Linked DNA regions of Saccharomyces cerevisiae S288C. The gene in region 1 interacts genetically with each later gene. Each region holds a gene or a part of one and is shown on either strand. Other genes may lie near its edges.

Region 1 (3,929 bases):
GAGAAGTACTGATGGCTAATAATTGTTGGATCGATTCATTGTATCTCTTAAATGTCAACAGAGCATAAGTCAGACTCTTTGCCATTTTTAAAAAGCTGCGAAGGCGAACGTGACTACGGGGTGCGGGTTTTTGTATTGCTAATGTAGCATGACAGCTTATCCAATGTTTTGTTGTGTTCATTCAAACTATTTTGAGCCTCACTTCAATTTTGTTTGACTACTAACATGGCAGCATGCGTCGTTTCTAGGTGCTAGCCAGGCTGTGAGAACGTAAAATTAGCCTATGTTCAACATTCTCTGCTTTTCAATGTCACTGTTCATTTTGTTACTATGAAAGTAGTTCGTCGCAATTTGTACTTTTCTTCGAAAGTCTTCTTTTGCAGTAGATGAAGTGTGTTCTGAGAAATTGATGCTTTCAAATGGCCTTAAAAAATTTTTGTATCATAGCTAACAACATACTGTTGCGCCAGGGGAAGTGAAATCATGGTTGTATATTACAATAGCATTATGTGCATTTACCAAGTATGGAAAAGCGGAAAGTGTGAAAGAAGTTTATGAAAAAAGCGGAAAATAAAAAAAAAAAGTTTATTTTCCTGTGACTTCTGGGAAGCAGTTAGACCTCCTTCGCTGTATTCTTAGGTGCTATACCTCATTTCCACGATGGTAATAGACGATCAGTCTATTAATGCGCTAAAGAACGTAGAAAAGTTATTAACTGAAGAAGCTTTGCTAATGCCGTCGCACATTAAACGGCTAGACATTGCCTTGAATAGGAAGCCGAATAATCTACGAAATATCATGGAGCTTCAGGGCCTTGCATATACTATAGTAAAAAAAAAACTAAGTTTTCCCCTGTAGTAAACAGGGAGATACCGTACGGAGGTCTGAATTCCCTACAGAAGTAGCTGTAAAAATTCAGAATTCGCAACAACCTATAATTGAGTTAAGTGCCTTTCCAAGCTAAAAAGTTTGAGGTTATAGGGGCTTAGCATCCACACGTCACAATCTCGGGTATCGAGTATAGTATGTAGAATTACGGCAGGAGGTTTCCCAATGAACAAAGGACAGGGGCACGGTGAGCTGTCGAAGGTATCCATTTTATCATGTTTCGTTTGTACAAGCACGACATACTAAGACATTTACCGTATGGGAGTTGTTGTCCTAGCGTAGTTCTCGCTCCCCCAGCAAAGCTCAAAAAAGTACGTCATTTAGAATAGTTTGTGAGCAAATTACCAGTCGGTATGCTACGTTAGAAAGGCCCACAGTATTCTTCTACCAAAGGCGTGCCTTTGTTGAACTCGATCCATTATGAGGGCTTCCATTATTCCCCGCATTTTTATTACTCTGAACAGGAATAAAAAGAAAAAACCCAGTTTAGGAAATTATCCGGGGGCGAAGAAATACGCGTAGCGTTAATCGACCCCACGTCCAGGGTTTTTCCATGGAGGTTTCTGGAAAAACTGACGAGGAATGTGATTATAAATCCCTTTATGTGATGTCTAAGACTTTTAAGGTACGCCCGATGTTTGCCTATTACCATCATAGAGACGTTTCTTTTCGAGGAATGCTTAAACGACTTTGTTTGACAAAAATGTTGCCTAAGGGCTCTATAGTAAACCATTTGGAAGAAAGATTTGACGACTTTTTTTTTTTGGATTTCGATCCTATAATCCTTCCTCCTGAAAAGAAACATATAAATAGATATGTATTATTCTTCAAAACATTCTCTTGTTCTTGTGCTTTTTTTTTACCATATATCTTACTTTTTTTTTTCTCTCAGAGAAACAAGCAAAACAAAAAGCTTTTCTTTTCACTAACGTATATGATGCTTTTGCAAGCTTTCCTTTTCCTTTTGGCTGGTTTTGCAGCCAAAATATCTGCATCAATGACAAACGAAACTAGCGATAGACCTTTGGTCCACTTCACACCCAACAAGGGCTGGATGAATGACCCAAATGGGTTGTGGTACGATGAAAAAGATGCCAAATGGCATCTGTACTTTCAATACAACCCAAATGACACCGTATGGGGTACGCCATTGTTTTGGGGCCATGCTACTTCCGATGATTTGACTAATTGGGAAGATCAACCCATTGCTATCGCTCCCAAGCGTAACGATTCAGGTGCTTTCTCTGGCTCCATGGTGGTTGATTACAACAACACGAGTGGGTTTTTCAATGATACTATTGATCCAAGACAAAGATGCGTTGCGATTTGGACTTATAACACTCCTGAAAGTGAAGAGCAATACATTAGCTATTCTCTTGATGGTGGTTACACTTTTACTGAATACCAAAAGAACCCTGTTTTAGCTGCCAACTCCACTCAATTCAGAGATCCAAAGGTGTTCTGGTATGAACCTTCTCAAAAATGGATTATGACGGCTGCCAAATCACAAGACTACAAAATTGAAATTTACTCCTCTGATGACTTGAAGTCCTGGAAGCTAGAATCTGCATTTGCCAATGAAGGTTTCTTAGGCTACCAATACGAATGTCCAGGTTTGATTGAAGTCCCAACTGAGCAAGATCCTTCCAAATCTTATTGGGTCATGTTTATTTCTATCAACCCAGGTGCACCTGCTGGCGGTTCCTTCAACCAATATTTTGTTGGATCCTTCAATGGTACTCATTTTGAAGCGTTTGACAATCAATCTAGAGTGGTAGATTTTGGTAAGGACTACTATGCCTTGCAAACTTTCTTCAACACTGACCCAACCTACGGTTCAGCATTAGGTATTGCCTGGGCTTCAAACTGGGAGTACAGTGCCTTTGTCCCAACTAACCCATGGAGATCATCCATGTCTTTGGTCCGCAAGTTTTCTTTGAACACTGAATATCAAGCTAATCCAGAGACTGAATTGATCAATTTGAAAGCCGAACCAATATTGAACATTAGTAATGCTGGTCCCTGGTCTCGTTTTGCTACTAACACAACTCTAACTAAGGCCAATTCTTACAATGTCGATTTGAGCAACTCGACTGGTACCCTAGAGTTTGAGTTGGTTTACGCTGTTAACACCACACAAACCATATCCAAATCCGTCTTTGCCGACTTATCACTTTGGTTCAAGGGTTTAGAAGATCCTGAAGAATATTTGAGAATGGGTTTTGAAGTCAGTGCTTCTTCCTTCTTTTTGGACCGTGGTAACTCTAAGGTCAAGTTTGTCAAGGAGAACCCATATTTCACAAACAGAATGTCTGTCAACAACCAACCATTCAAGTCTGAGAACGACCTAAGTTACTATAAAGTGTACGGCCTACTGGATCAAAACATCTTGGAATTGTACTTCAACGATGGAGATGTGGTTTCTACAAATACCTACTTCATGACCACCGGTAACGCTCTAGGATCTGTGAACATGACCACTGGTGTCGATAATTTGTTCTACATTGACAAGTTCCAAGTAAGGGAAGTAAAATAGAGGTTATAAAACTTATTGTCTTTTTTATTTTTTTCAAAAGCCATTCTAAAGGGCTTTAGCTAACGAGTGACGAATGTAAAACTTTATGATTTCAAAGAATACCTCCAAACCATTGAAAATGTATTTTTATTTTTATTTTCTCCCGACCCCAGTTACCTGGAATTTGTTCTTTATGTACTTTATATAAGTATAATTCTCTTAAAAATTTTTACTACTTTGCAATAGACATCATTTTTTCACGTAATAAACCCACAATCGTAATGTAGTTGCCTTACACTACTAGGATGGACCTTTTTGCCTTTATCTGTTTTGTTACTGACACAATGAAACCGGGTAAAGTATTAGTTATGTGAAAATTTAAAAGCATTAAGTAGAAGTATACCATATTGTAAAAAAAAAAAGCGTTGTCTTCTACGTAAAAGTGTTCTCAAAAAGAAGTAGTGAGGGAAATGGATACCAAGCTATCTGTAACAGGAGCTAAAAAATCTCAGGGAAAAGCTTCTGG
Region 2 (6,076 bases), on another chromosome or scaffold:
AATCAGTGTTGATGGATTTTGACAATAATAGTTTTTTGCCGCAATTTTCTTGGCCTCTTCAGTACTCGGAGGTTTACAATCTTCAATAATACTTTTACACTCGCGTATTATGGTTAGTAACTTCGCGGAGTCTATCGAATATTCTTCGCTCTCTGTGGACTTCTCTTTGTTTTTCTCAGTTGTACTGGCATCATTTTGTGGTTCTTCTTTTTCGTTTCCCGGTACTGATTCCTGGCTACCTTCTCTGCTGGGAAATTTTGTTTCTAAATACCTTGTGACCAAGGCTTCATCCTCAATCAATAATGTTGCTAGTGTTATTTGGGGTGGAGTGTAGAAATATACGACATCGGTTAATAATGCGGCAGTTATTCTCTTCTTACACCTATCGTATATTTGGCCCATGTAATTTAAATCAACCTTACCATAAAGGACGTTCTGGATATCTAAGAAAAACCCATGAAGCGGTTTGTAAGGATGATGGTTCAACAGTGAAAATTTCAATGATTCTAACAACTTAAACTCGAATTTGAGAACACTATCTCTAGTAGATTTGGCCTTTTGAGCAAACGAGTCCACGCTAATAAAATAGTTCTCCGATTTGCAGGCTAGAAAGATAGTAGTATGTACAATACTTTTAGGATCTATTTGCATAACAGAATTTTCTAAGAAAAAACGCCTAAAAAAGGATATCGCAGTGGCCACTACTTCGGTTGGCAAATTTAGATGCTGTGCTATTACCTGAACTTTTTTTGCGTAGAAATTCACCAAATCGAGTTCTTCTTCCATTGTCAAAGGGATAGCCTTTGCTTCTAGTACTTTTATTTCTTCTTCTGTTAAATTGTGTGCTTCTCTAAATTTTAATAAATTTTCCTCAATGTAAGCAATCGCTCGGGCATTGGTATCTACCCTTTTCTCCTGAAGTTGATCTTTAGTGTATGACCACATTCTATACTGAGAAGAGTGCCTATATAAATCATCGTCAGAAATTCTTTTGTAGTTCGGTGGCTTGTTATTCTCATCAGCCGATTTTAATTTTGCCTCTTTTTCTTTTGCTGACATGGTAGCAGAAGGAGTATCTAATGTACTCTTTCCATTTAGTTGAATATCCGTCATTCTATCAATATCTGTGCAGCACAGTATTTTCCTCTCTTAAACTTAATATTCACTCATTTGTTTGAGATCTTTCTTAATATAAAAACTGTGTTAAGATCAAATTTATTACCCGGATTGTGAACGGCTTAAACAACGAAGGGATACCGCAGGAAATGAGAGGCCCTTTCTTCTCTGGATGGCAAACAGTTCGTGCTATCAAAGTCTGTACCAAGGTTATTTCACTCTTCAAGCCAGCAATAACTACTTTCTTTCAGGTCACCTCTCAGCCGTCACGTCTCTAGCTGAAGCTTTGTTATTCTCGCTTCACTAAAAACAAGTGTATCTACAATATTTACCAGTCTATTCGTATATCCCTTATCATTCTTTTTCAATAAGGGCAAATACTTCGGAAAAAGAAAGGAACATTCATCTTGATTCTAGCCGTAAAGCTATCACGTTCACTCTAAGCAAGCGGAAAGTTGAGCAAAATCAACGAACAATCTGAGTCAGCAAGGCAGTACAAGCATCTCTTCTTTGCCCCTCAAAATTTATTTCCTTTTTGGTATAGTCTTACTTCCAAGTCCAAGCAAGCACTACGTATCACGACAAACCAACAGCCGCGCCGTTTTTATATTCGGAAAGAGAATTCTTGTCGTTATTGAATAATAATAACAAAATTTCTCCACTTTTCACCATATTACCACTCCCTTTTTTTCAAGTAAAAAAAAAAAAAAAAAGAATCTTATTGCTCCTTAAAAAAGGATTCATCAGTCCTTTATGAGAGCCTGCTAGTATCACCTAATATTGCATCTGTTTTTACCGAAATTTCCTCATTCCAATAATGAAAAGAATAAGATCGCTTTGGTTCAATGCGGAGGCTTCTTATTCAAACCTTAACAATTCTCCTAGTTTGAGGAACAAAAATAGTACCGGTAATAACTCTCGCTCTAAAAATTATCGTTCTTTCTCAAGGTTTGACTTGATCAACTCTATACTTTTACTGATGATGCTATTTTTATTAGCTATCTTCGTCACTGCATTATATTTAACAAAGAGTTCCAGGCTTACATACTCACATGCCTCGAGGGCTGCCCTATTTAACCCTCTGGGTGTGATATCGCCGTCATTGGGAAATCATACGTTGAACTACGATCCAGAAGCAAGGGAATCTTCTAAAAAACTTTATGAACTCCTTTCTGATTTCAACACGGCATATTATGATGATGAGAACATGATTTTGGGAAGTAACTTGTTCTCAAAGAATACATACTCGAGACAACCATATGTTGCTAACGGTTATATAGGTAGTCGTATTCCCAATATTGGGTTCGGCTATGCCTTAGACACCCTGAATTTTTACACAGACGCACCAGGCGCTTTGAATAACGGTTGGCCCTTAAGAAATCATAGATTTGCCGGTGCGTTTGTATCGGACTTTTATTGTCTACAACCAAAACTAAATTCAACAAACTTCCCAGAATTGGATGATGTAGGATATTCCACTGTCATTTCATCTATTCCACAATGGACCAATCTACAGTTCTCATTAGTGAATGATTCTAAGTGGTTCAATCCACAAAATGTTACGTTGGATGACGTAACTAATTATAGCCAAAACTTATCAATGAAGGATGGTATCGTAACTACGGAGTTAGATTGGCTAAACAGTCAAATACATGTTAAAAGTGAAATCTGGGCACATCGGCACATTCATCCACTGGGAGTGGTTTCTTTGGAAATTTCCCTGAATACGGACCATTTACCTTCGGATTTTGATTCATTAGATGTTAATATATGGGATATACTTGATTTCAACACATCACATAGGACTGTTCTACATAGCACGGGAACAGACGAAAAAAATAATGCGGTTTTCATGATTGTTCAGCCAGATAACGTTCCATCTTCTAATTGCGCTATTTACTCAACGTGTACTGTAAAGTATGAAAATTCCACCAATCCAATAAATTCTAGTGAATCTTTTGAAGAAAAAGATGTTTCTTCTAATATTTATAATGTTATTTTGACAGAGGACCAACCCAAGATAATCGTTCATAAGTATGTTGGTATTATGTCTACTGAGTTCAATAAGAACAAAGAACAACAAGACAATACTAATATTGGTTTGGCCAAAATGATAGCTCTAAACAGTAAAGGCAATTACGAGAAGCTTCTGTCAAGTCACAAACGTGCGTGGTATGACCTTTACAACGACGCCTTCATTGAAATTCCTTCTGACAGTCTTTTAGAAATGACAGCAAGATCGTCCCTATTCCATTTACTAGCAAATACAAGAGATTACAATGTCTCGAGCGATAGGGGTCTTCCCGTGGGAGTTTCTGGTTTGTCATCAGATTCCTATGGTGGTATGGTGTTCTGGGACGCAGATATATGGATGGAACCTGCCCTATTGCCTTTCTTCCCAAATGTGGCTCAAAATATGAATAATTACAGAAATGCTACACATTCGCAGGCAAAGTTAAATGCAGAGAAATATGGATACCCCGGAGCAATATACCCCTGGACATCTGGTAAGTACGCTAATTGTACTTCTACGGGACCTTGTGTCGATTACGAATACCATATTAACGTTGATGTCGCTATGGCCTCCTTTTCCATATACTTGAATGGACACGAAGGGATTGATGACGAGTATCTGAGATATACTACATGGCCAATTATCAAAAACGCAGCCCAATTTTTTACTGCTTATGTTAAGTACAATTCTTCCCTAGGATTGTATGAAACATATAATTTGACAGATCCCGACGAGTTTGCTAATCACATCAATAACGGGGCTTTCACGAATGCTGGCATTAAAACACTTCTAAAGTGGGCAACAGACATTGGCAATCATCTCGGCGAGGTCGTTGACCCCAAATGGAGTGAAATTTCCAAAGATATTTATATCCCTAGATCCTCATCTAACATCACTTTGGAATATTCTGGTATGAATAGCTCAGTGGAGATTAAACAGGCGGATGTGACTTTAATGGTTTACCCACTTGGATATATCAATGATGAATCCATATTGAACAATGCAATTAAAGATCTTTATTATTATTCAGAAAGACAGTCTGCGTCTGGGCCTGCAATGACATATCCGGTTTTTGTGGCCGCAGCTGCTGGTCTGCTGAATCACGGCTCTTCTTCTCAAAGTTACTTATATAAATCGGTTCTTCCATACTTACGGGCTCCTTTCGCTCAATTTAGTGAGCAATCAGACGACAACTTTTTAACAAACGGATTAACCCAGCCAGCATTCCCCTTTTTAACAGCTAACGGTGGATTTCTACAGAGCATTCTGTTTGGGTTAACAGGAATCCGATATTCTTATGAGGTTGATCCAGATACTAAAAAAATTAACCGTTTGTTAAGGTTCAATCCAATAGAACTACCGTTGCTCCCTGGTGGTATCGCTATTAGAAACTTCAAATATATGAACCAAGTTTTAGATATAATAATTGACGACCACAATGGTACGATTGTTCATAAATCAGGAGATGTTCCTATTCATATAAAGATACCAAACAGATCTCTAATACATGACCAGGATATCAACTTCTATAATGGTTCCGAAAACGAAAGAAAACCAAATCTAGAGCGTAGAGACGTCGACCGTGTTGGTGATCCAATGAGGATGGATAGGTATGGTACCTATTATCTTTTAAAACCGAAACAAGAGCTTACAGTCCAACTGTTCAAGCCTGGCTTAAACGCAAGAAACAACATAGCGGAAAATAAGCAAATAACAAACTTGACGGCCGGCGTTCCTGGTGACGTTGCATTCTCTGCTCTAGATGGGAATAATTACACGCATTGGCAACCCTTAGACAAAATTCACCGTGCGAAGCTATTGATTGATTTAGGTGAATACAACGAGAAAGAGATTACCAAGGGAATGATTCTTTGGGGGCAGAGGCCCGCAAAAAACATTTCCATATCTATTTTGCCTCATTCTGAAAAAGTCGAAAATTTATTTGCGAACGTGACAGAAATTATGCAAAATTCGGGAAATGATCAACTTCTTAATGAAACCATTGGTCAGCTTTTAGATAATGCCGGAATTCCTGTCGAGAACGTTATTGATTTTGATGGCATAGAACAAGAGGATGATGAATCTTTGGATGATGTGCAAGCCTTATTGCACTGGAAGAAGGAAGACTTAGCCAAGCTAATTGAACAAATACCCAGACTTAACTTTCTAAAAAGAAAATTTGTGAAAATTCTGGATAACGTGCCAGTGAGCCCAAGTGAGCCATACTACGAAGCAAGTCGCAACCAGTCGTTAATCGAGATATTACCCAGTAATAGAACGACTTTCACTATTGATTATGATAAATTGCAGGTGGGTGATAAAGGGAACACAGATTGGAGGAAAACAAGATACATAGTTGTGGCAGTACAAGGAGTGTATGATGATTATGATGATGATAACAAAGGAGCTACAATCAAGGAAATTGTTCTCAATGATTAAATGAAATGATGCATATAAGTAGCGCTTTTTTTAATATTATAAGTTTGGATAAAAGTTACCAATTTTTTCGTAGGATATATATTTTAAAGGCACTATATTGAAAATATCATGCATGCTTATATAAAAGCTTTTTTTTTTCTATAGGGTGACATTTAGGAGCAATAATTTTTACTACAAGCTTTTTTTGCACCTTATATAGTAGTGACCTTGAAATTGGTCTTTTGCACCAGCGTACTTTAATTCCACTAAGTACTGTTTAGCAGCCTGTTTTCCAGAGCCCACAACAGTTTTCTATAAAATTTTCACATGCATTATATAGACATGATCTACCTACCAATTTGATCTTCCTGCCATTGAGATCAGTTCTTTCATTACATTGATTGCACATTTTTAATTGGCGCCTTTTCTAATTTTTTGTATGAGTCCATATTAAAAAAATAGACTTCAAATTCCTACTAGACGATTCTGATTCCATCGGGATTACCACCAGATTTGATATTGGCTCTT

Evidence for each region. A genetic interaction does not mean that the proteins touch.
Region 2: of SUC2 (region 1) and ATH1, extra expression of one rescues a mutant of the other (dosage rescue), as found in Saccharomyces cerevisiae (one study listed by BioGRID).

What each region holds. Positions count from the first base shown.
Region 1 is NC_001141.2:35,560-39,488, forward strand, and holds SUC2 (beta-fructofuranosidase SUC2), read left to right. Parts: upstream 1-1,825; coding exon 1,826-3,424; downstream 3,425-3,929. Other genes in the region: YIL163C (uncharacterized protein), read right to left, coding at 1,340-1,693; SMU2 (Smu2p), read left to right, coding at 3,874-3,929.
Region 2 is NC_001148.4:613,446-619,521, forward strand, and holds ATH1 (alpha,alpha-trehalase ATH1), read left to right. Parts: upstream 1-1,933; coding exon 1,934-5,569; downstream 5,570-6,076. Other genes in the region: TFIIH complex kinase subunit CCL1, read right to left, coding at 1-1,113.